5 linked regions of the Coturnix japonica genome follow. The protein of the gene in region 1 interacts with the protein of each later gene in a pairwise test. Links are inferred from orthologs where the notes say so. Each region holds a gene or a part of one and is shown in the gene's direction. Other genes may lie near its edges. The genes, in order: L3MBTL2, PHF10, TLE family member 5, PAICS and BEND7.

The links.
Region 2: the proteins of L3MBTL2 (region 1) and PHF10 interact in binary tests that used the Homo sapiens proteins (3 or more experiments, as listed by UniProt). The two-hybrid records come from large-scale screens. The link is inferred for Coturnix japonica from reciprocal best matches to the Homo sapiens genes L3MBTL2 and PHF10.
Region 3: the proteins of L3MBTL2 (region 1) and TLE family member 5 interact in binary tests that used the Homo sapiens proteins (3 or more experiments, as listed by UniProt). The two-hybrid records come from large-scale screens. The link is inferred for Coturnix japonica from reciprocal best matches to the Homo sapiens genes L3MBTL2 and TLE5.
Region 4: the proteins of L3MBTL2 (region 1) and PAICS interact in binary tests that used the Homo sapiens proteins (3 or more experiments, as listed by UniProt). The two-hybrid records come from large-scale screens. The link is inferred for Coturnix japonica from reciprocal best matches to the Homo sapiens genes L3MBTL2 and PAICS.
Region 5: the proteins of L3MBTL2 (region 1) and BEND7 interact in binary tests that used the Homo sapiens proteins (3 or more experiments, as listed by UniProt). The two-hybrid records come from large-scale screens. The link is inferred for Coturnix japonica from reciprocal best matches to the Homo sapiens genes L3MBTL2 and BEND7.

The regions. Positions count from the first base shown.
Region 1 is NC_029516.1:45,392,524-45,396,599, reverse strand, and holds the start of L3MBTL2 (lethal(3)malignant brain tumor-like protein 2), read left to right. Parts: upstream 1-1,269; 5' UTR 1,270-1,352; coding exon 1,353-1,400; intron 1,401-2,514; coding exon 2,515-2,821; intron 2,822-3,001; coding exon 3,002-3,135; intron 3,136-3,457; coding exon 3,458-3,581; intron 3,582-3,891; coding exon 3,892-3,971; intron 3,972-4,076. UniProt on the Homo sapiens protein: Putative Polycomb group (PcG) protein. PcG proteins maintain the transcriptionally repressive state of genes, probably via a modification of chromatin, rendering it heritably changed in its expressibility.
Region 2 is NC_029518.1:36,960,565-36,964,075, forward strand, and holds part of PHF10 (PHD finger protein 10), read left to right. Parts: coding exon 1-15; intron 16-1,361; coding exon 1,362-1,495; intron 1,496-1,609; coding exon 1,610-1,759; intron 1,760-2,628; coding exon 2,629-2,738; intron 2,739-3,485; coding exon 3,486-3,511. UniProt on the Homo sapiens protein: Involved in transcription activity regulation by chromatin remodeling. Belongs to the neural progenitors-specific chromatin remodeling complex (npBAF complex) and is required for the proliferation of neural progenitors.
Region 3 is NC_029543.1:645,287-649,497, reverse strand, and holds the start of TLE family member 5, read left to right. Parts: upstream 1-1,400; 5' UTR 1,401-1,626; coding exon 1,627-1,653; intron 1,654-1,866; coding exon 1,867-1,964; intron 1,965-3,351; coding exon 3,352-3,415; intron 3,416-4,050; coding exon 4,051-4,095; intron 4,096-4,211. UniProt on the Homo sapiens protein: Transcriptional corepressor. Acts as a dominant repressor towards other family members. Inhibits NF-kappa-B-regulated gene expression. May be required for the initiation and maintenance of the differentiated state.
Region 4 is NC_029519.1:58,382,260-58,386,328, reverse strand, and holds the end of PAICS (multifunctional protein ADE2), read left to right. Parts: intron 1-22; coding exon 23-106; intron 107-250; coding exon 251-431; intron 432-1,470; coding exon 1,471-1,629; intron 1,630-2,384; coding exon 2,385-2,551; 3' UTR 2,552-3,559; downstream 3,560-4,069. UniProt on the Homo sapiens protein: Bifunctional phosphoribosylaminoimidazole carboxylase and phosphoribosylaminoimidazole succinocarboxamide synthetase catalyzing two reactions of the de novo purine biosynthetic pathway.
Region 5 is NC_029516.1:6,097,479-6,101,529, reverse strand, and holds the start of BEND7 (BEN domain-containing protein 7), read left to right. Parts: upstream 1-1,249; 5' UTR 1,250-1,522; coding exon 1,523-1,583; intron 1,584-4,051.

The DNA.
Region 1 (4,076 bases):
TGTTTGTTCATGGCAATGTATTTTACCAAAGAAACGAGGTCTGACCTCATCAGCTGACCTGCACCCGGCCAGTCTGGGAGCAGCTGATGTTCAGAAGACCTATTTTGCATTTTGAAATGAGAACTATTGTTTGGATATGTGATATTAAAAGATCCTATTTCACTTGGAATACATTGTTCAGCTTTTGGCACCAAAGTGTGAGCCTGAGAGAGAACCTGGTGTGGATATTCTGTAGATGCTGTGCTGCAGTAGCTGATGGGTGCCCCATTAATGCTGTTGCACCCACTTATGGGCTGCTTGAGGTCACTTAGCATGGAAAGGCTGAAGTGCTCTTGATCTCACCTGACAGCAGTGCGTGCAGGCGGCTGCCTCTTAATTCAAGCACATTCCCCTATTTGGGGGATGTCCTGTACAGAAATGCTTCAACTAGGGAGCGTGTGTGTAGCAAAGCCAGTTGTGTGTGCCAGCTGTAACTGCATGCACGTGCTGTTGAACCTGGTGTGTCGTTCACTGCCTGCGAGCCATATGTGCAGAGTAGGCAGGGAGGGCTTCCCAGAGCACAGCTTTACCCCATGGGTGTGTGGGGAGTAACTTGTACCTGTGTTTTGTGCACCTGAAGATCTGGCTGTGGCCAGAGCACAGCACAGGCGTTGGGATTGTCCCTGTGTCCACCAAGCCCAGGTAATGACACGAGCAAGCTGCCTTCAGGAAAAGATGGATGGAAGATGATGGAGTGAGGAGCCTGTCTGCACGGGAATCTCAGTCAAGTGCCAAACAAAAGCCATGGTCTATTGCAAAGTGGACAGATGTTCGTGGCTGTATGAAATTTGGAATAAAAAGCTTGATATTCAGATACAAGTACGATGATTGGTCTAACACAGGAGCATAAGCTGTGAATAGAAAGGTGTATTTGATGGCAAGATGTCAGCCTGTCTTCATAAGGGAGGTGCTCCAGCCTTCTGACCATCTTTGTGCCCTCCTCTGGACCCCCTCCAGCAGCTCCCTGTCTTTCTTGTACTGGGGGCTCCATACCATGATGCAGTACTTAGATGGGGCCTCGCAAGAGCAGAGCAGAGAGGGACAACCACCTCCCTGTCCCTGCTGGCCACCCCTCTCTGATGGAGCCCGGGACGCCGTAAGGTCCCTGTAAGGCCGCCATCATGCTCTGGGCCACGCCCCGCCCCCTTCTAGCGGAAATAGAACTACGCCTCCCGTCGTGCCCCGCGGGGAGTGAGGCGGGAACAAGCTCTTCTCCGATTGGCTCATTTTCTTCCGTCTGTGGCCAATCGGGTGCGCGGCTGCGGGGGAGGTAGTGCTCCACGCGCGTGAGGCGGGCAAGCGTCCTGGGAGCCATGGAGCAGGAGCAACAGCAGCAACAGCAGCAACAGCAGCAAGGGGAGGTGAGCGGCGGCGGGGCCGGGGCGGTACCGCACTGCGAGAGGCCTCCTGCTGCCACAGCCGCGCAGTGCTCTGCAAAGCCCCGCAGCGTGGGCTGGGGGGGGCTGGGCCGCCCTGTGCTCCACGGGAGACGCGCGGCCCGGGCTGTGGCGGCCGTTTAACGGCTGCGGGGGGGCGGTTCGCCTCCCTGTGTGGAGCCCGATGTGGCGTCAGTGGGGTGTTGGGGGAGGGAGTGACGGAGGGGGCGCCGCCGGGGGGGGATGCATCGCAGCTTTCGGGCTCTTTTGGTTCCGGAGCAGCGATCCCGAGTTATTCGCTTCCTGCGAGCTGAAGGAAGGAGCGTCCGCAGAAAGGGCTGCGAAGGAGGTGGATTTGCTGCTGGTCCGTCATCACAATTCGTTATAAATTCAACTCTGGAGAAAGCTGGTCCAGCTGATGTTTAGTCTGTATTAGTTTTGTGAGCTTTGGTGGCCGGAGCCTGTAGCTCGGTACGCTGTGGAAAGCTCGCTGTGGCTTTGACGGCTTGAGGAGAGCCACTAAGATGATCCGAGGGTTGGGCACCTCTCCTGTGAGGAAAGGTTGAGGGAACTGGGCTTGTTTAGCTTGGAGAAGAGAAGGCTCCAGGGAGACCTCATTGCAGCCTTCCAGTATTTGAAAGGAGCACATAAATAAGAGGGAGAACAACTGTTTGAGTCTGGACAGTGATAGGACAAAGAGGAATGGTTTTAAACTGAAACAGGGTTAGAGATGAGGAGGTAGGTTTTCACACAGAGGGAGGTGACACACTGGAACAGGTTGCCCAAGGAGGCTGTGGATGCCCCATCCCTGGAGGCATTCAAGGCCAGGCTGGATGTGGCTCTGGGCAGCCTGGTCTGGTGACTGGCGGCCCTGCATATAGCAGGGGGGTTGAAACTGGATGATCTTTGAGGTCCTTTTCAACCCAGGCCATTCTATGCTTCTGTGATTCTTTAGATTTCTGAATCTGGGATTGTTGCGTGGATTTCTTGCACAGTCCAAGGCTTCTCTTGGGTCTAGACGTCCTCTCAGCAGTGAAGACAAGCTAGTAAACATTTGGCATAAGGTGTTTGTTTTAAAGCAGACTGGTTGTTTTGTCAGGCAGCGTCTTCCATTTGCAACAAAACTTCATCTTTGGAGAAGGCGGAGGTGGAAGGTGAGGAGGAGGAGGAGGAAGAAGAGGAGGATGATGACTTGGACATGTTTGGAGGCTATGACAGCTTCCGGAGCTACAACAGCAGCATGGGCAGTGACAGCAGCTCCTGCCTGGAAGAGTCTAGTGATGATGAGGTGGCAGATCGGGAAGTCAGAGGTCTTCCACTCTCCCCTGTGCACCAGCCACCCACAAGCCGGATCACAGAAGACAGCGGCTCTGAGCCAGGTAGTGCCCGTTCTCCTGTGTATGATGGTAAGAATGAGAGCTGGAGGAAACCAAAGCATGCTCTGGGAGCAGAACTGAACTGATAATGCATGTTCTGTAATACATGGAGGAGCTGCTATGTGTAGTGGGGATTTCCTGGGCTTAGATCTGTCACTTATAAAGCACTGGTCCTGCTGACTGCTTGTATCTTTGTGCTTTTCCACTCAGCTGTGTGCGAGATGTGTGGGATTGTGGGAACCAGGGAGGCTTTTTTCTCCAAGACCAAACGTTTCTGCAGTGTATCATGCTCTAGAAGCTATTCATCCAACTCCAAGAAGGCCAGCATTCTGGCCAGACTGCAGGTGAGTCAAAATCCCTCCTTCCCCAGGGGTGGAGTAGAAAGCCCATGTAGAGGGATGGATTTTTGCTGTCTTGTGAGGTCTCAGACTGCTATTACCAGTGGTTTATTTCTGCTTGAAGCCCCCAGAGAAAAGCATACCAACTGTGCAGTGCTGTTTTCTAGAAGCTGGGGAAGGGCATAGTTATATTTTATTTGTTGTATCTTCTGGTTCCTGAGAGCACTAATAGTAATCTGTAAATCATCCCTGGAGAGATGTGTGCCTCCTCCTGTCCAGTTGCAAGCTTCTCTCCCTTCCTATTCCACTAATATTCCTTCTTTTGTAGGGGAAGCCACCAACAAAGAAAGCTAAAGTCCTGCACAAGGCAGCCTGGTCTGCCAAGATCGGGGCCTTCCTCCATTCACAGGGCACGGGGCAGCTCGCAGATGGGACTCTGACAGGCCAGGACGGTGAGTGTAGGCTAGTCATGAGGAGGTATATCTTTAGAAGGGGTAACTGTAAGACTAATAGCCCCATGCTTCACTCTGATTTCTCTGAGATGCTGTGGCCCCAGAGATACCCCCCCAGCTCCATTTCTCAAGAGCAAGTTGACACCATTTGTGGGATCTAGTTCCTCTTCAGGGAAAAGGCACTCAAATACAGAGTCCATGCTCTCTGGGACAGAGTGCTTTGCCCTTGTTGTAGCCCGGAGGTAACTGAGTACTGTGTGCCTTTTAGATAAACCTCTTTGCCTTACTTTCTTCTCTTGTCTGCTCCTAGCACTAGTCCTGGGCTTTGACTGGGGAAAGTACCTGCAGGAACATGGCTTCAAGGCAGCTCCAGTCAGCTGCTTCAAACACGTGAGTTCTTTGCTGTGCCTCACAACATGTGTGGTACACTTTGCATGCACTGGACTCTCCTGTGCTGAGTGGAGAGAGGCCTGGGGAGAGGGTTCTTGAGCACTG
Region 2 (3,511 bases), on another chromosome or scaffold:
CTCAATGCACGTTAGGTAAGAGAAGAATAAGATTCCTCGCTAAAGTATAAAAAATGACCCACTGAAAATGTGATTCAGTTTTGGTAGAGAAGTCACTTGCAAATGAAAATGTAAATTCTGACCTGAAAACTAGTTTATATTTTTGTTTATGTAAACTGGCCAAAGGATATCAATGCTCAATATTGATCATAAAAACATACATTTTAATTTTGTTCCAATTTCTTAGTAAAACCTATGTTGTAAATTGGCTTTTAGAGCCTTTTTCTCCTTAACAGAAAAAGAACAGCATGATTTTTTAAACTAAAACTCCATCTGTATTTTTGGCTGAATTTGTAGTGACTCAGCAAACGTTAGTGTATTCCATGGAATTGAGCTTATGTCTTAGATGTCAGAAGGGTGAATATTAAGCCACTTAAATGCATATGCAATAGAACATTGTCATTAATGCAATTTATATTGGAAGAGTTTCAAGTGTTTGTTCTTCCTCTGCTAGTATGTGTGACTTGGAGTGTGTTAAAAATTAAAGGATGCCTGTCACTTTTTTTTTTCCCAGTGTACCCATGGATCTGTGCAGATGTTAATTACATTACTTTATAAATTAACAGTCCTTGGTACACTGCCTTTGTTTCTCAGCTGCCAGCTCTCTTGAAAGTTTTACTTAAATATGCAGGATATACCCGTATCTAATTTTTATCAGTAGAAGCAAAATGCTATATTCTATCTCAGATATACAACAGAGGCATGTGGTGCATCAGCTGTCCCTGTGATAACATACGCCAACTTCTGTCCTGTTGTAAACAGTATTAGTTTCATTGGAATCTTTTGAAGAGATGTTCTGCGTGACTTGATAGCTGCAAAATGACATGTTCTGACTTTTGAACTTGAAATACTTTAATCAGGAATCAGGCATCTGTCTGCAGTTTGCTGCTCTGAATTGACCTCACAGTGATTCTTTTTTGATTTGTACAGAGAACCTGACCTTGAAATTAAAATAGTGTGAGGCAGTGAAACTGGCCATTCACCAGTACAAGAAACTGAAACAAACATCACCAGGTCCTGCTTTCAGCAGAAGTTCTGCCTCTTAGGGAAGTTTAGTAGGTGACAGTCACTGTGAAGATGAAGTTTAGCTTCTGTAGTTGTAAGCAAGGGAAGAATCTTTCCTCCTTGGGAAGAAGCAAAACCTTAATCAGCCTCAAAAGCTAAATGTCATAAGTTCACTCCTATGTGACAGAGGGTGAAGTGTCGTGCATTGTAGGTTATTGTCTTCAGCTGCTCAAAAACTTCACTTGATGATTGTTTGATATAAATAACCCACGGTTGGTTTTGCCAGGTAGCATCATTATTGCTTTTATCTATTTTAGGTCTAACAGCTTTGCGTAGTGATGAAGTAATTGATCTTATGATTAAAGAATACCCTGCCAAACATGCTGAGTATTCTGTTATACTGCAAGAGAAAGAACGTCAGCGAATAACAGATCATTACAAAGAGTACTCTGTAAGTAAATAGAATATGTTAAGTGAACCAGATCTGTAGCATGGAAGATAAAAACAAATGTTCGCAAACTGGTGGTGAAATGTGTGTAAGTTAATAAGATTGTTTTTGTTTCAGCAAATGCAGCAGCAGAACACACAGAAAGTAGAAGCCAGTAAAGTTCCAGAATATATTAAAAAAGCTGCCAAGAAGGCTGCAGAATTCAACAGCAATTTAAACCGAGAGCGAATGGAAGAAAGAAGAGCCTATTTTGATTTACAGACACATGTAGGCAAACTATATTTTTTTATCAATGTTGAAAGGTAGATCTTCGTTTTAGTAAGGGTGTTTCTTAGAACCTTTCTAACAATCTTACCATTCAGGGGGTTCATTAGTCTCATTTTAGAGACATATGGACTTTTAAGAAGCTTCTGTTATATCTGTTGATATATATGGCCAGTTCTCTTTTGGAACGCTTCTAAAATTCTCTCTGAACAATCTATTTACTTAAAAGTTAAGCTGTTTATCTGAAAGAATGCTTTGAATCGAACTTTATGCCCTTATTTTTGTTAGATGCTACATATGTTATCGAATATATATGTAATATATTATGGAAAGGTGACATCTTCCTGACAGTGATACATTAGAAACAAGATGGTGGGTAATTAATTTGACTCATTTCTAAGGAAAGAAGGCTTCTTTAAGATTCTTTTTCCCTGTATTTGTGTTATTTGTGGGATTTTTTAGTGGCACAGTCTGATTTTTGGCATTAGATGGCAGTGTTGTTGCTACCCTCTACCAGTATGGACCCACAATAATAATTAACATCAAAGATACTTCTCACAGAAGTTTACGATTACTGCTTCAATTGCTAGATTTTTATTTTTAAATTATTTTACATACTGTACTATTAGAAACAGTCTTCTTTCAATTCATCAAGCACATCCTGATTAGACTTAAATCTGTAATACTGTTTTACGAGTGGGATCTCTCGTCATTTTAGTGAGTTGAATTTTCCATGGGAGAGCTCAGGTAGCTGTTCTAATTGAGTAAAAGGCATAAACTGGCACACGCATAAATATTTTCAGGAAATGGAGGGTAAGGAAAGCTTAAAAGTTTACAAAACAAGAACTTCATTGTTTTGTGTTAAACAACAGATTATCCAGGTGCCTCAAGGAAAATACAAAATCTTGCCTACGGAGAGAACAAAGGTTAGTCCTTATCCAGTGGCTCTCATACCCGGCCAGTTCCAGGAGTATTACAAAAGGTATTTTAAAAGCATTGCAGCTGCTGTTTCTTTTGAACTGATCTCTACATCTAGCTCGTGGAAAACATTTGAGTATATTTGCAGCAGAGTTTTGAATTACTCTTATGCTTGAGGCCCTCGCTAGTCTAATAAATGTGCTGCAGCATGGGGGCTTTTGTCAACATCATGTATGTAGCACTTGCTGCTAGAGTGTCTCCTTCTCTGATGTACTGTGGTGCCTGAATTTGGTCTGTTCAGATAATCTGGTTAGATCTTGACATTATCCTGTAGTTATTTTTATTTGCAATTTTTCCCCCTTCAGTAATCATGAAACTTGATCTGGAATCTATCATCTTTACTTATTTTGCTTTGGACCCCAGCCGTTTGTGTGTTGTGGGTTAGAACTGATGCTGTGTACTTCTATAAACAAAGTATATGGTTTGTTGGCATGGATTGATCAAAAATTTGTAGGCATTCAGGTATTTTATGATTGCTCAGGTTTGCAACATTGCAAATATACTCTTCCTGTGTTCCACGAATATCTACCTACACAAAGATGACAAGTACTAAACAGTGTAACATTTGTGGGGATAACTCCGTAAGTTTCCTATATTTTGAGAAGTGCATGTCTATATGTGCTTCCCTTAAGAGGAGGGTTGGAATTATTTACATTTCTTACTCTTTCTCTCTAATTCTCATACATATTTTGTGAGTAATATCTACGCATAAAGCGCACAGGCATTCATTTATTTATTTTACTACCTTCAGATATTCTCCAGATGAACTTCGTTACT
Region 3 (4,211 bases), on another chromosome or scaffold:
GGCTTTATTTTGAAGCAGAAAATGCACCCAGTTTGAAAGGCAGGAGGAGAACAGCAGCCAAATCAAGGCAGGATCCCTGTGCACGCAGCAGCCCTGCCCAGCACTCCTTGTTTGTGCCATGCAGGGATCCAGCAGCCTTTCTCTGCTCACTGGAGCACTGCAGCCTCTGCCCATGGATGGGGCTCTGCTGAGGTGCTGCTCTGGGCATGGTTTCTTCCAGCAAAGGAGAGAAGAGAAGAAGCAATGCTTTGCTGTGGGCATTGCAAGTCAAAAACTGAGCCCTGCATTGCAATGGTGGGGTCTGCACTGTGATGGTGAGCCTTGCACTGTGATACTGGGGCATGCAATGTGATGGTGAGCCCCATAATGCAATGGTGAGCCCCATATTGCAATGGTGAGTCCTGTACTGTGATAGTGAGCCCCAAATTGTGATGGTGAGCTCCACACTGCTGGGGTGCTCAGCTCCTGCAGCATCACATCAAGAACCATAAGCAATAGGTGAACAAGGAACGCCAAGGGCAGACGTGTCTGGCCCATCTGGTGGCCTCCATTGATGGCATTGGTGGACAAAGGAAGGGCACAGGCTGCAGTTGTGCAGGGCCTTTGCACGGCCCCACACTGTGCCCATTTCTCTCAATAGGAGAGAGGTGGGTTTGAAGGGTGGGCTGTTTGGTGGGTAAGGAAGTGGTTGGATGGTCATAGCTTGGGATCTGTGGTCGTGGTGGTCCTACAGACCCCCCTGCGCTGCAACTATGGGGGGGCAGAGGGCAGGGAGGGGACTGTCCCGTCTGCTCAGCCCTTGTGGGGACCCACCTGCAGTGATGCATCCAGGTCTGGGATCAGGCTGTGGGATGCTCTGAGCTCTGAGCACCAAAGATCCTCTGCTATGGAAACGTGCTGATGGAGCAGCCATGGAGGCTCCGGGGAGACCTCACTGCAGCCCTCCAGTACTTGGGGAGGGGGCTTACAGGGAGGAGGGGGAGTGACTTTTACCTGCCTGATAGCAATATGGTGATGGGGAGAACTGGATGCCCTTTAAGGCCGACCCCACTCTAAGCCCTTCTCGCACCCACGATGCCCGCAGCAGGTGCGGGGCTCTGGGACACAGCGCAGACCCCAGACCCACGGAGGGTCCCACGGAGCGGGGTCTGAGCGGCACCGGGTCGGGATGGGTGGGCGTGGGGGGGGCAGAGCATCACGGCTGGGGGGGGTAGGAAGGAATTGGGGGGGGGGGGGCAGCTGGGCGCCCCCCCCCCCCCCGATCCCGGGGGGGGGGGGGGGGGGCGAGGGGGGGGGGGGGGGGGGAATTGGGGGGGGGGGGAGCAGCTGAGCGCCCCGCACCGCCCGGATCGCGGCGGGGGCGGAGACGGCCGTGGGCCCGCCCGGCCCGGGGAGGCGGCGGCGGGGCGGCAGGTGGTGCCGAGCAGCCGCAGGACGGAGCGGATCGCAGCCGCCATTAGACAATAGGCGGCGGCTCGGGGCACAGCGGCGCGGGGCGGCCGCGGGGCCGGGCCCGGCGCGGACAAAGGCGGACGGGGAAAGAACGGAACGGAGCGGAGCGGAGCGGAGCGGAGCGGAGCGGGGCGAGGGGACCGCTGCGGGCGGTGGAACGGGCTGCAGCCTGACATGATGTTTCCACAAAGCCGACACTCGGTACGGCGGCACCGGGAGGAGCGAGGAAGGAAGGAAGGAAGGAAGGAGGGAAGGACGGGGGGGAGCACCGAGAGCCGCCCCCTGCCCGCCCGCAGCCACCGGGAACCGGAGCGGGGGGTGCGGGTGACCTTGGGCGGCGGCGGGCTGCGGTGGGGGGGCGGGCAGGGCTGCGGGCCCCCCATTGGGTGTGCAGCGCTGTGTGTGTTGTTCAAGGGCTCCTCTCACCTGCCGCAGCAGCTCAAGTTCACCACCTCCGACTCGTGCGACCGCATCAAGGACGAGTTCCAGCTCCTGCAGGCCCAGTATCACAGGTACGTGCCGGTACCGCCCCCACCGACCGCCCCGAGCATCCCGGGGGGGTCCGCAGTGCGCCCGGAGCTGGGATCCTCCGCTTTGGCATCGCTGCCCTGCACGGACCGGGACGCAGCGTGGCCAAGAGATGGGCTCCGTGCGGCACGACGCGCTGCCCTCCCAGCCCAGCACAGGTTTACCCCCAGGCTCAGCCTCCCCAGGCCGGTATCACCTCCAGGTCCCACCTGGAGGACCGATGTGAGCATCCCAAGGAGGGGGGGGGGACGCCCGGTGTGCACCCATTGCTGCCTTCCTTTCCTTTGGCCACGCAGTTCGGCCCAGAGTTGGCCAAAAGCTGCAATCCAGGCAGGGAACGCTCTGCTCACTGCCCAAAAGGTGGGATTCTGGAAGGAGAAGGAAGGAGAACGCTCTGCCTCCCCCACAGCCAGGTCTTACCCCAATGCAGGACTCCATGCACAGCTCTTCCATCCCTCCATCCATGCACAGCTCTTCCATCCCTCCATCCATGCACAGCTCTTCCATCCCTCCATCCCTGTGCAGCTCTTCCATCCCTCCATCCATGCACAGCTCTTCCATCCCTCCATCCCTGTGCAGCTCTTCCATCCCTCCATCCATGTGCTGCTCTTCCATCCCTCCATCCCTGTGCAGCTCTTCCATCCCTCCATCCCTGTGCAGCTCTTCCATCCCTCCATCCATGTGCTGCTCTTTCATCCCTCCATCCATGTGCAGCTCTTCCATCCCTCCATCCATGTGCAGCTCTTCCAGCCCTCCCTCCTCTCGCTGGGAGTTTTCCTCCCCTCTCCCTGCTGGCTGCCATTCTTGGCTCACAAATGCTGCAGGGAGCACTTAAAGCCAAATGCTTCCGCTTTTCCGCCTGCGGAATGGCTTCTGCTGACCCAAAAGCTGGCTGCCGATGGGCTCTCTTGCTGTTTGCTTCCTAGCTGCACGCATGCACCAAACCATTGCTCCGTGTGTTGCCCTTTCCCTATTGCTCCCACCTCCCCGAGCTCTGCATCGTGCAGCATTGTGGCCCCCCCTTGCAGGACCCGATCTGCTCACAGAGCAGCAGGTTTGGTGGAGGTGAAGCTGTTTCTTGTTTGAAACATAAAACCAGCACATGCTGCTTGCAGCTGCCGGGCTGGGGAGCTGCACAGAGCACAGCGAGCAGCACGTCTGCTCTTAAGGGTGCAAAGAACCCAAAGGAAAGGGGGAAAAGGCATCATTCCAGAGGCCTGCACTGCACCTGGGCTTCCCCAGTATAGGAGGATCTGGTTGCTTTGCTGAGCTGCACTGGGCACACAACAGGCTGGGATGGACCCTGCAGGATGCAACCCAGGATGCAACCCGCTGCCCTGCTGCTTCTCTCACTGCTTTCTGCCTTTGCAGCTTGAAGTTGGAATGCGACAAACTCGCCAGCGAGAAATCGGAGATGCAGCGTCACTACGTCATGGTGAGGAGCTGCCGGGGCAGCGCGTGGGTGGGGAGCAGGTGCTGCTGCTGCTGGGCTCGTGCAAACGGGGCTCCTCGTGCACACAGGGCTCCTCGTGCAAACAAACAGAGCTCCTCGTGCTCTGCACCCTGTGTGTGTGCTGGGTCGGTGGGTGCAGGATGGACATGCAGGGTGTGAGCAGGGAGCTGCTGTCTGTGTGCAGAGCTGCTCTGCTGCTTGAGCAAACTTGGAGTGCTCAGGAATTGACTTCCCGTGCCAATAGCTTGCACTGGAGCTGCCTGTTGTGTGAGGGGGGTGGGTTATTTTGCGTGTGTGTTTCCTGCAGCTCCTTCCCAAGCAGCTGGAGCTGTGTGCAGCTGGAGCACAGGGCTGAGCCCTTCCATTTGCTGCCGGAGCAGCCACGTGGGCGTTAGGAGATGGGCCAGGCACAGCAAACAGAGCCGGGCTGTGCCTGTTCCCAGCAGAGCACTGAGCTCTCCCTGTGATGCCAGGGCTCTGTGAAGGTGCTGAGTGGGCTCTGGGTTAGTTGAGGTCCCACCTGGGCTGGGGGCAGCAGGAAGGTACAGATGTGGGGGTCTCTTTGCATGCTGGAGTCCTCATCGTGTCTGTTTGTTCTCTTCTTCCCCACTCCGCAGTACTACGAGATGTCCTACGGGCTGAATATTGAGATGCACAAACAGGTATTGGGGGGGGTGGGCTGCCTGCTGTGCCTTCTGTCCCTTCAGTGGCATTTCAGGATGTCAAACGTCAGCACTGATTTTGGGATCTCCAGCTCTGGCATTGGGGAGCACCTTCA
Region 4 (4,069 bases), on another chromosome or scaffold:
GTTTTTTCTTTCTCCTTTTTAGTCCTATCGAGACCTGAAGGAAGTGACTCCTGAAGCACTGCAGATGGTTAAAAGAAACTTTGAATGGGTTGCAGAAAGAGTAGAGGTATTTCTGTGGTGGCTTTTTTTCCCCTAATGAGCCGTGTATCTGGTCTTTGATAACTGTGTCTTCAGTCCCGTTGACTATTTTGTTCGATTTGTTTTTTTTCCTTTTATTTCTTCTTTATTCTCCCTTGACTATTCCTCATAGTTGCTTCTGAAAACGAAGAGCCAAGGTAGAGTTGTGGTATTGATGGGATCTACTTCTGACCTCGGCCACTGTGAGAAAATAAAGAAGGCATGTGCAACCTTTGGAATTCCTTGTGAGTTAAGAGTAACCTCCGCTCACAAAGGGCCGGATGAAACTCTGAGGATCAAAGCAGAATATGAAGGTAGATGTCAGAGAACTAATGAATGAGACTGAGCAATATCATGTACAAAAATGACTTGTCAACTTAAGGATCTCTGTAAGCTTTTTTTTTTTCTTCCCATAGTTTCTTGTTTGTTGAACACAACAATAGTCTGTTACAATGCAGTTCTAATCTTGTTAAATACATAATGATGGATGGTAGACTGCACTGAGCAATTATGAAGTAAGATGCTGTCTCAGAACTTCCATTACTCAAAAGCTTGAACTGTGATTTTTATCTCATACTTGCACTTCTTTGCTTGAGCCTTGATCATGCTAATACCTGCATCTGTAGGAAGATACTACAGTAAATGTATTTCTTAAACAGGGAGGAGTGGAGGCTTCCTCTAGCTGACTATAAATGTTCTTTGGTTTCCTCCAACGCAGATGTTGCTGCCATCATCCTACTCATTTGTTGAAAATGTTGAATCATTTTTGTACGCGATGAGAAAAAATACTTGATTTCAATTCATATTTTTTATACCAAGAAAACCTGACTTCTCTTTGAAAGGCTAGAGGAGGAGAGATGAGAATTCACTTGTTGGAGTATTCCTTATACAGAGGGGGAAAAAAATACTATTTGGGGACAGGAGGAAGCAGTTAAATACTTGAAAACACAAATGTGGTAATCACAGCTGAGATTCACTGGAGGTGAATTAAGACTTTAGTTAAACTATAGTTCTTTTTTTTATAGTTTTACAGCCAGAATTTAGCTGTCTAAATCTCTCATCCTTAAATGTTGCTGTTTCCAAAAGCAGCACCCATTCCTCTGGCTCTTTCTCTCAAGCAGAGGAAGGGTGAGACATGTTAACTTGTTCAGTTATGGTAAACAGCATCTGGGTTTTAAGGCTGTAAGATCAGTCATTTCTGTAAAGGGGAAAATTCAACATAAATTTTAGTGCTGCGTAACAGAATGAAAGAAATTTAAGTGCAAACTGAAGAACTGTGGACTCAAAGCTCCATAAAAGCAAGTGGGATGAAACAAGATGGACTTGCTTATTCTTTCTTTTTCTCCCCCCAAGGCGATGGAATCCCGACTGTGTTTGTTGCAGTAGCTGGCAGAAGCAATGGCTTAGGGCCAGTAATGTCTGGTAACACTGCTTACCCTGTTGTCAACTGTCCTCCTCTCTCATCTGACTGGGGTGCTCAGGATGTGTGGTCCTCTCTCAGACTGCCCAGTGGTAAGATGATCTTCAGCCTGTGCAATTGTACAGACCTAGCTATAGTTATCATACACATGTACGTGCACTGTTTGGAACAGTGGCTTATCAGTACTGAACAGTCTCTGGAAATCTGCATGCAGTCTTTGGGCTTTTTGCAGCTGAGAAGCCAAAGAGATTATGTACAAATACTCTTTAGAAAGATATGATCCATTGCTTATCCTTGCTAAATATTTGAGTTTGAAACAGGAGTTAATAATGGGAAGCTGTTGTTTCTGCTTATAGTGTTCCATTTTATTAAAGTAAATTTACTTTGATAAAAGACCAAATAATATCTTTCTCTACAATTAGCTTGATTCTTCTACAGCAGTGTATTGCTGCCATATGAATTCTTATCAGTTAGTGACTAGAACAGCTATTTGGCAACTTGCAGGCACAGCAGCCTGTTACCTCTTTCCTCATAAACTTATTGCTTTGCTGGCTTTGGGTTTCAAATGCCATGATGAGAGAAGTATTGAGATATTTGACACTTCAGTGGCTTTAAAACTAAACCATGTGGCTCTAGAGGGTTATCATAGAATCACCAAGGTTGGAAAAGACCTAAAAGATCATCCAGTCCAACTGTTCACCTATTGCTAATAGCTCCCACTAAACCATGTCCCTCAACACAACATCCAGTTGTTGAAACAAGCACTGTCTTAAACAGTCACTTAGAGGCAATGTGTTGCTTGCGCCTATAAAACTTGTTTGAAAGTAGCATTTTGCTTTCTTTGCAGGTCTTGGCTGTCCTACTACTCTGTCACCTGAAGGAGCCGCTCAGTTTGCTGCCCAGATTTTTGGGTTAAACAACCACTTGGTATGGGCCAAACTGCGAGCAAACATGTTAAATACATGGATCTCTTTGAAGCAGGCCGACAAAAAATTGCGGGAGTGCACCTTGTAAGTCCAACCAACAAGTAACTCCTACCAGCCACGCAAAGATAGTGGTGTGCATATGCATTTGTATCAGGATTTGTAGTTGGATGATGTGATCTTTTCTCACAGAACGAAGCATCTTTGGAGCAGCAGATAAGTCTGCTGTGTCCTCATCCCTCTCTTGTGTTGTTTTTTTTTTTTTTTAGTATTAACGACTTAGTAAAAGAAGATAATATTTTAGTTATCTTTCTGTTGTTCCAGAATAGTGTCATTCTGCTCTTCAGTGTATACTATTAACTACCGATGATGGTTATGTCAACATAATGATTTGGTGTGATTTAAATAGAAGCCCACTTTTTTTCCTGTAACAGTAACGTTCTTCCATAGTAATAATGTATGTTCTGAAGCTTATTAACTCAATGGGACTGCTAACTAAAACTAGTGCTGATGTAGTGCTGTAATGATGGTATGCTTTCTTTTAGCAATAAAATAGCAACATATGCTGTATTAATAAGAAAATAGGCTAAGAAGTAAGAGCCTGAAAGAAATAACTGCCTTATTTTAAAAAAAACATATATTTTTTCATGTGTACATGTGTGTATGTATATACACCCCATCAATAACTTTATCACATCATTTGAGAAGTTACTGTTCTCGTTTGTGACAAGCTCTAATTTTGAATGCAGCCATAATTAGGCTTGTTGCCTACTTGCTGTATAACCCTTGACCTAGTCCAGTCAAATATTAGCCCTTCAAATATTAGGCAGATCTACTGTGGACATATGTGATGCTGTCAAATTATCCTCATACACATCAATGTATCTATATTCCCTCACTCTGTTTCTATGGGAATTATACTGAACTGAAGGTAGGAATAAATGGTAAAGCAGCAGAGTACCAGGGGCAAGCCTAAGCATGACTGTCTTGTCTTTGCACACAACATTCTTCAATGTAGGTACTGATTCTAAGAAATATGCAATTACTCAATGTATGTACAATTTATGCTTTTATAATTAAATAAACTATTTAATTCAAAGTTGCTTTGTGGAGACCTCATAAGATACTCATGCAGTAAGTCATCAGCTTTTAAAAAATGGTAAACACTTGTGAAATAACCCTATGTGTTAAAGCAGCATAAAGTAGTAGATCACATTGCTTACTGTTAGAGGAAGCCCAGTTGCTTCTTCATAAGATGTAGTTTTATTGCTGTGTGTGGCTCGTATTTGCTTCTTAATGAGGGTAAACTGGATTGATTTGCTGCCATTGGCCTTCACAGGAAGGACCACATCCTCTTTCTGTGTAGCCATCACAGAGCTCCAACTAGTGCTACCTTCTAGAGTTAAGTAAGATCTTAAGTTCAAAGCCTACACTGGAGCCAAAACAACTCTACCTCATTGTGTAGTCCTGAGGGGGATTTGCTTTTTACTTCTAAGCACAAAAAGAACCACAAACACCTAGTAACACTTAGAGCTGGTTAGTGACAAAAAGGTTCAGACTTCATGGTAAAATATCATCCTTGCAATAAAAACTAGTAGTAAAGCCGTGC
Region 5 (4,051 bases), about 39 Mb from region 1:
TCTGTGTCTGTAAGCAGCACTACGATACAAATAATGTTATTAATTATCATTATTGTTAATATTAACTACTGTTAACATTCACATTCGTTTTCCTCTGAGCAATTTTCTAACCCTTAAGCGATGGGGTCAGTCAATACAACTGGAGCCAATAGAATTCTCCTGGGTACTCTCATTAGACCAAGAGATCGGCTTCTGCTCAAGTGTGACCATGTAGCTATCTATCACTTACTCCTCTCCTTGTCATGACACAGCCTGACTACATGTAAAACACAAGATGAAGACTGGGAGCTGTGTTTTGGTTAACGGTGTCTGGGTACTCTGTAGGCACGCTATGCTGTAAAAGCTAAAACTGCACCAGAAATGCACTTAGTGTAACGTAAGGGAAATAAGCGAGCCAGGAGTGTGGCTGGAAGCATCAGCTGGTGGATAAAGCATTAAGTTCAGCTGCGTCTGGATCATCCATATGGCTGTGGTGACCTGCTGGGTGGCACTCCTACAGAAGACTGGGACTCTTTACTATGGGATATCACGTTTAACTACTGAATGTGAAGCCTGGCTTAGAAGACAGCACTCTGCAAACAGGCACATGGTTGTGATGAGCTCGTGGGCTCCAGCCCAGCCTTGCTGCTGGGGTATTTGAACTAGATTTTGCACAGTTATGGAGCAACAACTTCAATACCACAGAGCTCACCACCACAGAGCTCAGCCCGGGCCCGGCTGGGATCGCCTCCTATCACCCCCAAAGTTCCCCTCCGGCCCTGAGCGAGCCTTGGGCCCTGGGCAGGCCCTCGGGGAGCCCCGAGGCTGCACAGGCCGCACCGAGGGCCGCCGCTCCGTCGCAGCCGGGGCCCCGAGCCCTGAGGGAGCGGCGTGGCTCGTAGGAAGCGGCGGCGGCAGAGGGAGCCAGCAGGCGGCTGAGTGCAGGGGTGTGCAGGGGCGGGCGGGAGGCGGGATGGGGGGGGGACACAAAATGGCGCTGCCCTCTCAGCCCCTCTCCCTCCGGTCACACTCCGGCCTCGGGGCCAGGCCGCCCGCGGGGCCAACAGCCTCCCCGGCCTGGCGTGAGGCGGCGGGCGGGCCGGCTGTGAGGAGGGCGGGCGGCGGCCTGCGGAAACAAGCCGGGGCCCGCTCGGTGGGGCTCGCCGCCTTTCCCCAGCAGGTGGCAGCGGGGTCCCGGTGCCGGCAGAGCCATTGCGGGCCGCGCACCCGGCGGGGGAGGCGGCGGCGCCGCTGGCCGGCATCGCCCCGGGCTCCCCCCCGCCGCCTCACCCCGCTTCCCCCTCAAAGTTTGGGGCGGCCTGGGAGGGCGGGCGGCGCCGCGGGGAGGCGGGGGGGACGGAACGAACTTGTCCCGTATCCTTTTATTTGCAGTTGAAGCCGAAAGCTCCCGGGGCCGCGTTTATTTTTGCTGATTAAAAAGACGGACCTTGGTCCTGCGGCTCCCCGCCGCGCGGCCGCCCTCCTCGCTCCCCTTTTTCCTCCCTCCTTTCTTCCTCCTCCCTCCCTCCCGCCCGCCCGCACCATGGAGTTTACGGAGAGGAAGAGAAGCAGGAAATCCCAAAGCTTTAAACTGATCAACGAAGGTAAAGTGGCGGCGGGGAGGGGGGGAGGCTTTGTGCCGTTGGTCTGTTTGTTTGTGCCTGAAGAGGACTTTTGCATAAACGGGGCCGGGTTTGGGATCGGGGTGTTATGAAATGTGCGTGCTCCTTTCCCTCCAGCTCGGCTGTGTCTCTCCCTCCTCGTATTTATTATTTAACTCTGGAATCAACTCTCCCAAGCGTTGCAGCTCTTCTTTATTTCATCGTGTTTTTTTTAACCTCCCTCCTCTCTCCCTTGTAAAATATATATATGTGTGTGTGTTCTGCGTTCCTCAAAATGAAGAAAATAACAAGAAGGAAAAAGCCACCCCCAAAAGGTGGACGTGTTTTGTTTCTTTCCAGGGTGATCTCCTACCGAATAAAGTTGGATCGCGTTTCATTGCAAATCCTCCTTTGGGAGGGGGGTGGGGGGGGGGGTTGGAGGGAAGGAAAGGTGAAATGGAGAATTAGGCGAAATAATGACACTTGGGCAGCACCGAAGCTCTTTAGTATTCAACTCCTGTGGGTTGTTGTGTGTGTGTTTTCCTCCTCTACGCACGTATTTCAAAGCGAAGCCCCACCGAGGTGTCTTTATTAAAATCCACGCTGCTAATTAATCGTCCGTGGGTGAGGAGGAATTGCTGGCATGTAACTTGTTCGCTTGGTGCCTGTTTGCTTTTTGAAAGGGGGGGGGAAATAAATAAAAGAAGACTGTTTTAAAAGGGATCCTTGGGGAAAATGTTTGGGATTCATGTCGGGAAATGAAACGCAGCTCTTTGATTCAGTCCTCTGTGAGCTTGCTTTCAAAGCTACAGCTGCTGGAAGTCATTTTAACAGGTGGACTCGCAGCCCCAGGCTTGGTGTTGGCCGGGTATGTCGAGCTGCTCCAGCTGATTGTCTCTTTTGTCCTCATTGATTTGGTGGGAGAATTCTTATTTTTCCTCTCTCTATGTATCTTTTTGCCCCCCCCTTCCCCTCTCGTGTCTTGAAGTCTTGAGCTGAAATATTTGCCAGCAATGCTGTGTGTGTCGTGCATGCCAAGTTCAGGGCAGGTGACTGCTTTGGGATAATACAGCGCTTAGGGGTGAGTGTGTGTGTGTGTGGGGGGGTGACTTTTGGTACTCGCTGAATGGGGGAGGTGAGGTCTTTAAATGAGTGTGGCAGAATCAGATGAGAAGCAGAGAAACGTGAAGGTGGAAACGAGCTCGCTTGAAATAACTGCTTTAACTCTAGTAGGGTTTGGAGCATTGCACATGCTGCTGCTCAAAATAGAAGGACAATGACTGGTCAGACTTGTCTGAAATTCATTGGAGGTTTTGTAAACATCAGCAGAGCCACCGGAGGGGGTTCATTTCTATCAGGAATAGGTTTGCTTTGTGAGCTTTCTTAGCATCAGATGTTCCGAGGCAGTTTGTGCAGGGCTGGAAAGTGAAACGTGCAGCCGAACAAAACTGAAATTGAAGCCTCGGTTTTTATTTCTCTCCTCAAAGTGCTGCAAAAAGAAGGTGTGCTCTATGGCAAATGTATTAATATTGTGCAGATTCTCAGTCCTAACAGGATTAAACATTCCTCAGTGCGTAAGGTGATCTGTTTAACTTGGTTTGAATTGGATAAATTCATTTATGGTGGTTAATTATTAGCGGTTCTTACTTTACCTGGGGTCTGCTTTTGGGTGTAGGGATTCAAATAGAAAGGCATGCTGAAAGAAAAACGCATCCTGGAGGACTGCGTTCACACTTGGAGGGTGGGGGGCATAAGCATCACGTTTTGTATGTGAGTCTGTTCTCACGTAGCCTCTTTCTATCACAGTTGATTATGAAGCTAATTATGGATAAATAGTTGTCTCTTGTAATTGGCCTTTGCCTCTTGCTGGAGTCGCTCAGTAATGTCACAGTTTAGTGTTTACTGTTGTGAAATTGATATGGATTTCACAGCGCCTGGACTGTGACACGAGGCATGAGAAGGAAACCAAAGAGAAAATGGGATGCTGGATCAGTCTGTAATGCAATCTGTTAATAACCCTGCCATCTAAGGTGCTCAGTCTGTCCCCAGAAGCTTCAGAGCACCCTATCAGTGTGGTGAGCAGATTGAGAGGGAGTGCACCTCTGGGGTGCAGAGCAGTGACTTCCAGGCTGCAGCTGTAGGGCAGAAACGGATGGTGCCCAGCTGGATGCACAGAGAGAAGTGGAGGAGAAACCACGTGTAAACTGTATGTCTGAGGTATGCAGATCTGTAAGTCATCTAATTCCGAGTTCCTATGTGCACTCTCTAGCAGAACTTGCAAAGAAGGAAATGTAAAGAAAAGCTAATGGGCTCTGAGTGCAGTCTGCATAAATTCTATACTTACAGCATTTACTTCCTCAATACTGCAGCTTGTATTTCACCTTTACCCCATACACGTCAGGCAGCCCATATACTTTTCTCCCACTTCATGGTTCAGAAAACCCCAACGCTACTTACTTGATTAACACCTC